Linked DNA regions of Drosophila melanogaster. The protein of the gene in region 1 purifies or fractionates together with the protein of each later gene. This does not show direct contact. Each region holds a gene or a part of one and is shown on either strand. Other genes may lie near its edges.

Region 1 (6,388 bases):
ATTTTAATAATTTTTTATGTATACCTTCTTTAGTCCTGAGAAATTAGCATTTTCGGGTATCTGTATTACAATCTAAACTCATCTCTGTTATTCCACGTAGTAACGAAGCATTGAGACTTTCGTCTAATTTCCAATGACAATTAATTATGTTAAGTAAAACTACGGAAATTCCAGGAGAAGCAGGCGGAAATAATGGCCCAGCATAACAATCAAATCGCAACAAAGTGTCACAAGAAAATTTACTTTCCAACAACTTCTAACTGAGTGAAGAAGAAGACAAAGATTGGGTTGTCGCGGCGTGGTGGGGGGGGGAGGTCTGAGTGCCCCTATTAGCGGCGAAAAGTTGTTCGGGGAATAGAGCCGGGAAAACTTAATAGAAAATCAAGCGCAAGAAAATGGCGTCCGATAAGGCGATGAGGAAAATGCTGGAGGAGAAGCGAGAGGAAAAGCGGTGGGGAAAAGCGAGAGGAAAGTCAGGCAACCAACGCCCCGCAGCAAATTAAATGAAAATTTGTTTGTGTGTGGAAAAATCAAGTGAAAATTAATTGAATTGAGTTGAGTGCGGCTACGGCGTAATGGTTTTGGTTCGAGGAGCTTGAGTTCGGGAAAGCGGGTGGGTTATTATATAGATCTTCATGTGGCGATAGCCCACCGAAAACGAAAAAAGGAGAAGCTGCAAATGGAATTTCCTTTTGCCCTTTTCTTTTTTACCAATCACAAAGCAATGATGAAGGAGAGTCCAGAAAATGTTCAGGGGGCTTACGGGTGGAAGTTCAGTGGGGGGGTTTTGGGTGGTCACTCCTGCCCACTCTATCTCCCTCTCTCGCTCGCTCTCGCCTTTCATTACCCTGGCTAAAGTCGTGCTCCGTCCCTTTCCTGCAGCCATAATTCATTTTCCAAAGACGGCAGCTGCGCATTGAAACTGCCTCGGAAAAGTGGGTGTATTTATGGGGGGTTCCCGGTTCGCCCCCAACCATTCCCCCACATATTTAAGACATTATTACATTATAATCGCATAAAACAATCAATAAAATGTCAGTTTTTGCTCTGCTCTCGTAGGGAGCAGCGCAGCTCTTGCCCTCTCTTTCTTCTCTGTTTGAGGGAAAAGCACCCCCCTTCTACAACCCACAGCGATTCAGCCATGCACTTCTTTCTTCTCCATTCTTTGCCACTACTTCTCTTCTTCCTGCTCGCTAGCCGTCTTCTTCTTGCCAGGTCTTAAATTGGCCATAATCATATTAATATGAAATTTCCCCCTATTTTTTCTGTGGCCACGCCTGCCGCTGAACTATGTATGTCTCGCCCGCACTCGTGTTCACTCTCGGGCTTCTCTGACTATTGCGCTCTCTTTCGTTCGCGCTCTTTGGTGGGTTACGCTCGCACAGTCACACACACACACGCACACTGATTCACTTTAAATCAATTTTTTTGGCGTTTTTCATTTCATTTTCCCTGTTGCGCATTGCACGCTCTCGCTCGCTCTCTCTTCTCTTTTATCCCGCTCTCTCTCGCTCTTACCCGCCTTGCCTCTCTGTCGCACAATTTAGTCAGGCAGAAAAATACCATTATTGCATTGACCATTTGTGGGCCAGCGCGGGGTTAAGCGTGCGCCGCGGGGGGGTTAAGTGGGTGGTGGTGTGGGTGGTTCCAGTGGGTGGTGGGTTTTTGCGGACGGCGCCTTGGCATGTTTGTTAAGTGAAACCATTTTTCTTTTTATTGCCACGGCTGCGCTGTCGACGTCGACGCCGCCGCTGCTGCTGCTGCTGCTTCAGTCTCGTCTTCTTCTTCTTCTTCTTCTTCCGCTGGGCTCTCTGCCTTTTTTCGCTTTTCGTTTTGTTATTTCTCGCTTTGGCGCACATAAATTTGAACGTTAATGATTTTTGCTTGCAGTTTGCGCGCATGCGACCCTAAAACAACAAGAACAACAACTACAACAACGGCAGCTGACCGTCAAGTGTTGAAAATGAGCTTGTTGTTGTTGCCGCTGCGGCGGCTGCAGTAGTTGTTGTTGTTGTTGTTGCTGCAGCAGCAGGTGTCGCCATCTCACTTTTTAGCACAGACTCAAACCACGAGCAACCAACCAACATTGGTGACACTTTTTTCCCCATTTTTCCCACTGACTGTAGTGGTGCCCCCATCTCACATACACACATATGCGCATTTTTATTAAACAAACACGAAGAAGACGAAACGAACTCCATATTTTTCATTTGTACGCGCCTGTCGCGCCATCCCGCTCGCACCGACTTCGCGATTGTCTCCACAAAACTCCACAACTCGCTGGCCGTAATTTTAATTCGAATCAATTTGTTTGTCGCCGCCGCTGCACTGAGTTCAGCCTTTTGCCCAGTGGGCCGCCGATCCGCTCCACTGTGCACGCTACGCCACATTTCGCTTGCTACGTTCCACTGTGCGGCCAGGATTGTCGCCTTTTTTTTCGGTGTGTGTGTGTTTTAGTGCCTTGTGAATTGAGTCCCAACAAAAAAAAAAAAAAATCGAAGTTAACCAAAAGAGCCTGCTGATTAAAGCGAAGTTAGCGCTAACCCGAAGTAAACACTATCCTGCAGTTAACGTAAGGCTAACCAAGAGCTATGAGGGAATATCAGAAAGAAAGCAAGAAACAATCGAGTCAGTGTTGAATTGAGTTATCGAAATCATTGAGCTAGTGAGGTGACAATATTAAAGGAAAATGAACTAGTTTAATTTGCAGTGTCAGCAAAAGCATTGAATTGTGTGTGTTCATTGCAAACGAGTTAATCGCATAAATTGGGAGCTAATCAAAAGCTAAGACGAAAATGGATCAGCTAATACAACAGCTGCAACAGGCAGCTGCTGCTCGGGGACAAGTCCAACATCCCCATGGTTCATCCGCTTTGCAACTTTACGCGGCAGCAGCGGCTGTCAACATGCAAGTGAGCGGCTGGTCATCCGTTCTCAACTTGTCCATGGATGCCCCAAATCCGGAAATTAGTCCCAATTCCGTAACCAATTCGTCCTCCGTGTATATGATCCGCCAAATGGCGCTGATACAGCAAGCCAGAGTGGCCGCCGCAGCAGTGGCAATGCAGCAGCAGCAGCAACAGCAAAGGGATCTCAATCGGGAGCTTGGCATGGATCCGCACAGTGAGCAGCGTATTAAGTTGGACTCAGTGTCACCCACGCACAACATCCACGCGGGTAAGTTTGATTAATTCATAGGCGATATTACTAGCTTATTCACATTGATTGATTCGATTTCTATGTCAATATTAACTAATATTCAATGGAAAATAATGAATAGAACATAGCTCTGGTTAATAAAAGCATGCACAAAAAACCACTCTATAAACTACGCATTTCGCATTTGGCCAAAATACACGAAATTGCTGGCCAAATTTAATTACGTGAATAATCAACAAGCCGCAACAACAATTACAAGCTGGCAAAAACACACAAAGCTACACACACACGCACACACACACACGCACACACACACACATTGAAAGTCCTGGCCTGCGGGCAAATAATGTTGTTGATTTTGTTGTTGTTGCTGCCGCCTGTTGTTGATTAAAAATTGATCAAAAAACATAAAAACACACGAATTATGCATGCGCGTATTTAAATGCGTGTGTTGCGCGTGTGTGGGTGGCGCTGAATTGATTAAAAGGAGCAATTCGATTGAAATTTTATTGGTAAATTGAATAAAGTGCACGGCGGCATAAAGGCCCCGGCCGGAAAACTTGTTTTCCATTCCAATTCGGCCATTTGGAAAATGCCATTATCTGCGCAAGCTCGACGCAAAGTTAATGAATGTAATGAATGAACAAATGAGTGGGCCACAGGACATCCGGGCATAAAATGTGGGTGGTCATAAATAACGCCATTTCGGAAGTGTCCTTGCCGGGAATTACCGCTAAACGTAGGTGATTAGATGAGATCGGCTAAAATGTAGAGGACATTTTGGAATAATTACTAAAAACTTTAATGGGCTTTTATACATACTATGTTGGTGATGATATTTAATTCATTTCTGATGAGATAATCCTTTTGCCTTTAAATTAGCATATTGTAGACAAGGTAAGTTGAAATAGTGGGAAAATGTTTGACTTACTAAAAAAATGTTGAATGTCATAATAAAATGGGATAATATATTATAGGCCAGTTCAAGCAAATATTTTTCTAAGAAGTTACGCTCTTAATAAGCTGTACTTTTAAAAAAACCAACCAAAACCATTTCCAAAAAAAAAAACATCAACATTTTCTTCAAAAAAACAAAGCACTACGTTTTGTAAGCAAATATTATTTTTATATATTTTAGTTTTATCTTACACTGATTAAATATATTGCTAAGCCTTGAGATCAATGAACAAAGTGGAATCACAATTTGTGAATGGAACGAGGCACCTGGCATCGGGAAATGGGAAATGGTGCATGGGAAATGAGCAGTGACAGGTGAAGTCTTGCTTTCCTTTCGGTGTCTTTTCCTCCTTGTTTTTTTATATATTTTTTTTGCCCAGGTCACGCCCAATCCGGGAAACGCCTGTATTTCCTATTTCGTACCTCGCCCTTTGTCTTTGGTCTTTTGGCAATTGAACCACTTTTGAGGCGCATCCAATTCCGATTCCGAATTGGCCGTCTTGCTGGGCCTCATCCTCCTACTTTTCTCGACGACGACGGGAAATTAGCTGCCATTAGTCATTTTTATTGTTTTCGGTCGCGGCCCCGAAACTACAGAATACAAAAAGAATATATGTATGTAACATGGAGTAAGGCTGAAGGCTGGCAACAACCCGGTTGGCAGCGCTGTTGAGCAGCAACATGATTGTCGGAAATCGAAGCTATCGACAATCAGTCATCGAAGGAACGATCGCAAGGCAGCAGTGGAGTCGAGTGGAAGTCAGCGTTGCAGTCAGTCGAGTTCTCAGCAGCAGTCGTTCGGTCACAAACTAAGAATACTTTACATAATTACCGCATTTAGAATTAAACTAATAATTAAATTAATAATAAACAATAATAATAAACAATCTTACATGGGGGCTCGTCCAGTCCTAAATCGGTTATATGAAGGTGCAGTTGTTTAAAGAAAAAAGACATTGTTGTGTGCGTGGGTATAGTCTTTAAAAGTTGTAAAGTTGTGGCTATATCTATTGCATTTAAAGTTGGAAAAATCAGTTGTACAGATTTTGTTTGAACACAAGTCGGTAAAAGTCGGGAAAGCTGCTAGAGAGAACTGATAAAGTTGAAATTGTCGTGTGCGTGGATTTAGTCTTTAAAGTTGTAAAGTTATGGCTACGTCTACTGCATTGAAAGTTGAAAAAATCGATTGAACTCATACAGACTCAAGTCGTTTTGCTGTTGTGGAATTTAAAACAATTAAATTGCAAAGGTGGTGAAATTCGTTTCTAACGAAAATCAAAATTTGTCTTTTAACCGGTGGCGCCGTCTGCAAAATCGACTACCGTCGCGCCGTTAGAACATTGTCGTTGTTTGCTGGTGTTAGTGCCTTGTCGCGGAATGTTCACACGCACACCACCTACAAATAAAAAACTTAACACCGACCAAATACAAGCAATTCTAGAGAACGAAAGCGAGGACGAAAGCAGAAAAGAAAAAATGAACGAAGAAGATCAAAAGTTGACGCCTGTAGGAGAAGCAGAGGCAAAGAAGCAGAATAAAGACGCTAGTGCTAAAGTCGAAGAGAAATTTGAACAAATGATGAATACTCTAACCCAGAGCATGTTGGCAAAATCTAAACAAGAGGGGCAAGTAATTATCGCTGCAGAAAAATTTGAAAAAGTTGTAAGTGACTGTGATGGCAAATCAATTCCTATTAAAAAATGGTTTGAAATTTTTGAGAAAAATGCCGAGGCATATGAACTTTCGGAGAAACAAAAATATGTTCAAGCCAGAAGTAAGATGATTGGATCAGCAGAACTTTTCTTAGAATCTGAATGTGTCAGTGGATACACTGAACTCAAAGAGTTACTAATTGAAGAATTTTCAGGCAGCTATAATAGCGCCGTTATTCACAAAAAGTTGCAAGACAGGAAGAAGAAGAGGGAGGAAACTCTACACGACTATTTGTTACAAATGAAGAAAATAGCAGCCTTAGGTGAAGTTGAAACAGTTGCTTTGATAACTCATATCGTAAACGGCCTCGACATTAAAAAGGAGTATAAGGGTGCTATGCTCCGTTGTAAAACTCTTAAGGAATTAAAGCAAGAATTCGAAATCTACGAGAGTCTGAATATTGTTGACAAGCCGAATATTCAACCAAAACCAAAGCAAATTACACAAGGTGTAAAAGCAGATCACTGCTTCAACTGTGGTTCGAGGGAACACAAACGAAAGGATTGTACACTTCCTACCAAATGTTTCAGCTGTAATCAAGAGGGCCATATCTCAAGCA
Region 2 (3,923 bases), on another chromosome or scaffold:
ATAAGGAGGTACTACGTCAGCGCCAGATGCTTGAGCTCAAGTCAAAGTTTTCTGCGAACAATGTGGGTATTAAAACGAACAATTTACTTCTTATATAATTCCCAAAACTTACCGTAGAGTGCCGCCGATTCGGAGCTGTTTAAGGCCAAAATGGAGGTGCAGCGCACAAACAAGGAGATAGACGACATTATTGGCAACTTCGAGCAGCGGAAGTTGCGCGACTTAAAGCAGATAATCAGCGATTTTATACTGATCGCCATGAAACAGCACACCAAGGCATTGGAGATACTCAGCGCAAGCTACTATGATATTGGAACCATTGATGAGCGCGACGATTTCATTGAGTTTCAGAAACTCATGAAGACCAAAGAAGAGCTGGCTTCCAGGAAAACTGCACTCAAAAAGGGACTGCGCTCCCAGTCGATGGATAGCTTGGAGCACGAGCACCTGGTCAGTCCGCTCAAGAGGCGCCCGAAGTTGTCCAGGAGCAATAGGAATCTGACGGGAGCCGGAATCAATCATGGAAGTAAAACAGAACCCGAAGATGAAACCGACGAGCAGGATGAAGAGGAAGATGATGAAGATGAGGTATGATTTGGCATGATTATGGAATGATAGAATAACTCCATTCCTCCCAAGGAAACCGAGCAAAGTGGCGAAGAGGACGAGGAATCTGGAACGGCAACGGATGACGAGAGGGAACCCACGCAGCCGGGCAACCAGGTTCCTCCGCGGGAGAATGTTTTTGGGGCCAAGATCCGATCTGCCAGCAAGGATATAGCCACGCCATCGACCAGTGCCAGTGCCACTTCTGCTCCTTCGAAGCCCAGCAGACAAACGGTCAAACATCCATTCAAGGCGGTGGCCTCCACCCATGTAAGGCTGCAGAAGCAGTTCCACGTGCCCCAGCACTAGCACTCAAATTATGACCAGTAGTAGAGTTCCTAGAGCTCACATCAGTATTGCAGGCACATTCTGGAATCGTAGCAAGAGCTTAAATAAAATTGAATTAGGAACATACTTCTAAGGGTTTATCTTAATTGGTTTTTGTAACCCCGCAGTCTCAGAGCTTCCTTTCATAATTTAATCAGAATGTATTACCACTCTCTATCTCATTGCCTTAAAAAACATGATATGTAGAAGCAACACAAATTGCAATTAATATTCGAAAATCATTCTGGTCCACAAATCAATGTTGATTTTCCTTTTAAAAGTAGGGATTGTTATATAGCACTCCTTGCCATTCAGCGCTGATTTCCATACACTTTTTATTAATGGACACGGGTCACGATTTGCATTATTTGTCCCAGATAAACAATACTAAATATATGCATATCATAACTAATCAAGCGGAAATGACGCGCTTCTCTTCCCCTTTTCGCAATAAACTTTCAGGTGAGGAAACACAAATCGGGAACTGGTCGCCTGGTAACCGTTGTTAAATCGAAGTCCTGAACACCCAAATAGCAGGGAATTTACAATTCTTGAATTTTTAATTTATAAATAGAAACTAAACGGCAATAATTCAAAATTATTGGCCATTGCTCACAAAAGAATTACTTTACTTAAATTATGATGTGCCCCGACCGGGCGAAACTTAAAACTAAGCAATAAATGGATGAGCAAATGTGTTCTTTTCTTCATTTCTTGGGGAGCAGCTGGGTGCGGAGGAGATTAAATGAATGTGAGAACCTGGAATTGTAAACTTGATACGGGTGACTGGGTGCCAGGTGTTCGATGTATGTATCTAATGGTATTGGGATGCACTTTCCGAATGGGCGTGGCCGTGCCAGCGCTACGGATCTCATTTCTCCGGTCCCTGACCCTCGATCCCGGCCTGGTTCATCAGATCCGCAATGCTCTTCTCCAGATCGTCGATGCGGTTGCCCATGTCATCGATGCGCGTTATTATCTGGTCCGACATCGTCTGGAACTTGTCCTGAACGTTCTGCAACAGATTTTGTACCTGATAACAGGAGGCAGGTTTACTGGGTGCTCATTTGGTGTCTCTATTTACTGGGTGGTTCCCGGTTCGGGCATTACTCACGTATATGGTCAGCTCCTGCATGTTTTTGGGGTCCGCATTGCTGTTCAGGGAGTAGTTCTGGTCCAGATCGCTGTCCATCTCGTTGCGCAGATCGGTCATTCTGTGGCTTCTTTGTGGCACTGTATAAAAGTACAAAAATGCTATCACTTCTAGCTCTTTTGCTTCTGTTTGCGGCTGCGGCTGTTTCACTTCTGCAAATTAATTTCTTTATCAAGCATAGGGGCGGACTTTGGTTCGATAGTCCTTTCGATAATCCTGGTGGTGGCAAAGTAGCTAGCTTCAAGTTTTATTTTCCAGTCATATTTAATGTCAATTTATTATTTTAATTTATTTTAATCTTTAAATAATTCAAATAAATATTAAGAACCATTTTTATTCAACATCATTTTATGGGATGTATTATTACAGAGAATATACCCAAATTGTAAATTTTGAAACTAAATTAAACTTAAATATAATTCTGTAATGTTTATTTCGTATTTCATATAAAAAACAACAAATTTGTGTATATTTTTAGTTTTAAAGCTTAATAGCTAGTAGCTTACGTTTTTCAACACTGCCCCACGTGTATTCTTTTAACTCATCCAAATGGAAGTGGACGAGGAAAAGCCGCAGGTTCTTAAAGAAAAACACATTATAAATAAACCACATTAAGCTAAGCATTACGATTGCAGATTATTGCTGAAAATCCCAACGAAAACGTGATACGCGAACGTAATGCGGAGATCGTTTCCGGCGGCAATGTGTTCTACAATCCTGTCCAGGAATTCAATCGAGATCTGAGCATTGCTGCTCTGAATGTTTATCGACAGAGATTGACCAAGGAGCGGAGCGAAAAGGCGCTCAAAAAGCAGCGGAAGAAGGTCAAGGAACAGGAGGATGAGAAGACCACTCCCGTTCCCGAGGATCCACCTGTTTATGAGGCCGGTACTCGATATGAGGATGGACTTCGGATCCTGGAGGCACTGGCAGCCACCGGTTTGCGTAGCATCCGTTACGCGCAGGAAATCGCCGGTGTACGCCAGATCGTGGCCAACGATCTTTCCCGCCAGGCAGTGGCCTCGATCAACACAAACATCCGGCACAACAAGGTGGAGGAGCTGATCGAGCCCAGTCACTCCGATGCAATGTAGGTTTATAATTAAGCTATTGGCACACGGTATAAAATGGGGCATTCCAATACATCGTACAGGACCCTCATGTATCTTTCGACGCAACCCGAGAAGCGTTTTGATGCAGTTGACTTGGATCCGTACGGATGTCCCAATCGCTTTTTGGATGGCGCTATGCAGTGCCTGGTGGACGGCGGCCTGCTGCTGGTGACAGCCACCGACATGGCCGTGCTGGCCGGAAATGCTCCGGAAGCTTGCTATGTAAAATACGGATCGGTTCCGCTGCGGATGAAGTGCTGTCACGAGATGGCATTGCGCATTTTGCTGCACTGCATCGAGAGCCACGCGAACAGGTACGGCAAGTACATCGAACCACTACTGAGCATATCAGCGGACTTTTACATCCGGATATTTGTGCGTGTGTACGTCGGCCAGGCCCAATGCAAGCTGTCGATGAGCAAGCAGTCTTGGATATACCAATGCACCGGATGTGAGACCTTCACGCTGCAGCCCTTGGGCATAACCAAGCCAAATCCCACGGCTGGTAATCCCCAGCAGCTGAAGTTCGGAATTCCCACTGGTCCGGCGGTCAACTCGCAGTGCGAACATTGCGGTCACAGGCATCATCTGGGTGGACCCATCTGGTCGGCACCGATTCATAACCCCGAATTTGTGCAGGATCTTTTAACGGCGGTCCAGGAGACCACCTTGCAATCGCTGGGAACCCAGAGACGAATCGTTGGAGTTCTTTCCATGGTCCAAGA

The links. Proteins that work in one complex are often made in the same cells at the same time.
Region 2: the proteins of OdsH (region 1) and CG5446 purify together in Drosophila melanogaster (affinity purification with mass spectrometry, with the first as the bait; one large-scale study listed by BioGRID). This does not show direct contact.

The regions. Positions count from the first base shown.
Region 1 is NC_004354.4:17,788,272-17,794,659, forward strand, and holds the start of OdsH (Ods-site homeobox), read left to right. Parts: upstream 1-2,738; 5' UTR 2,739-2,795; coding exon 2,796-3,177; intron 3,178-6,388.
Region 2 is NT_033779.5:12,425,422-12,429,344, forward strand, and holds CG5446 (uncharacterized protein), read right to left. Parts: upstream 2,289-3,923; 5' UTR 2,147-2,288; coding exon 2,048-2,146; intron 1,967-2,047; coding exon 1,805-1,966; 3' UTR 1,210-1,804; downstream 1-1,209. Other genes in the region: Fam92, read left to right, coding at 1-62, 118-588, 640-915; Trm1 (tRNA methyltransferase 1), read left to right, coding at 2,636-2,662, 2,722-3,176, 3,240-3,923.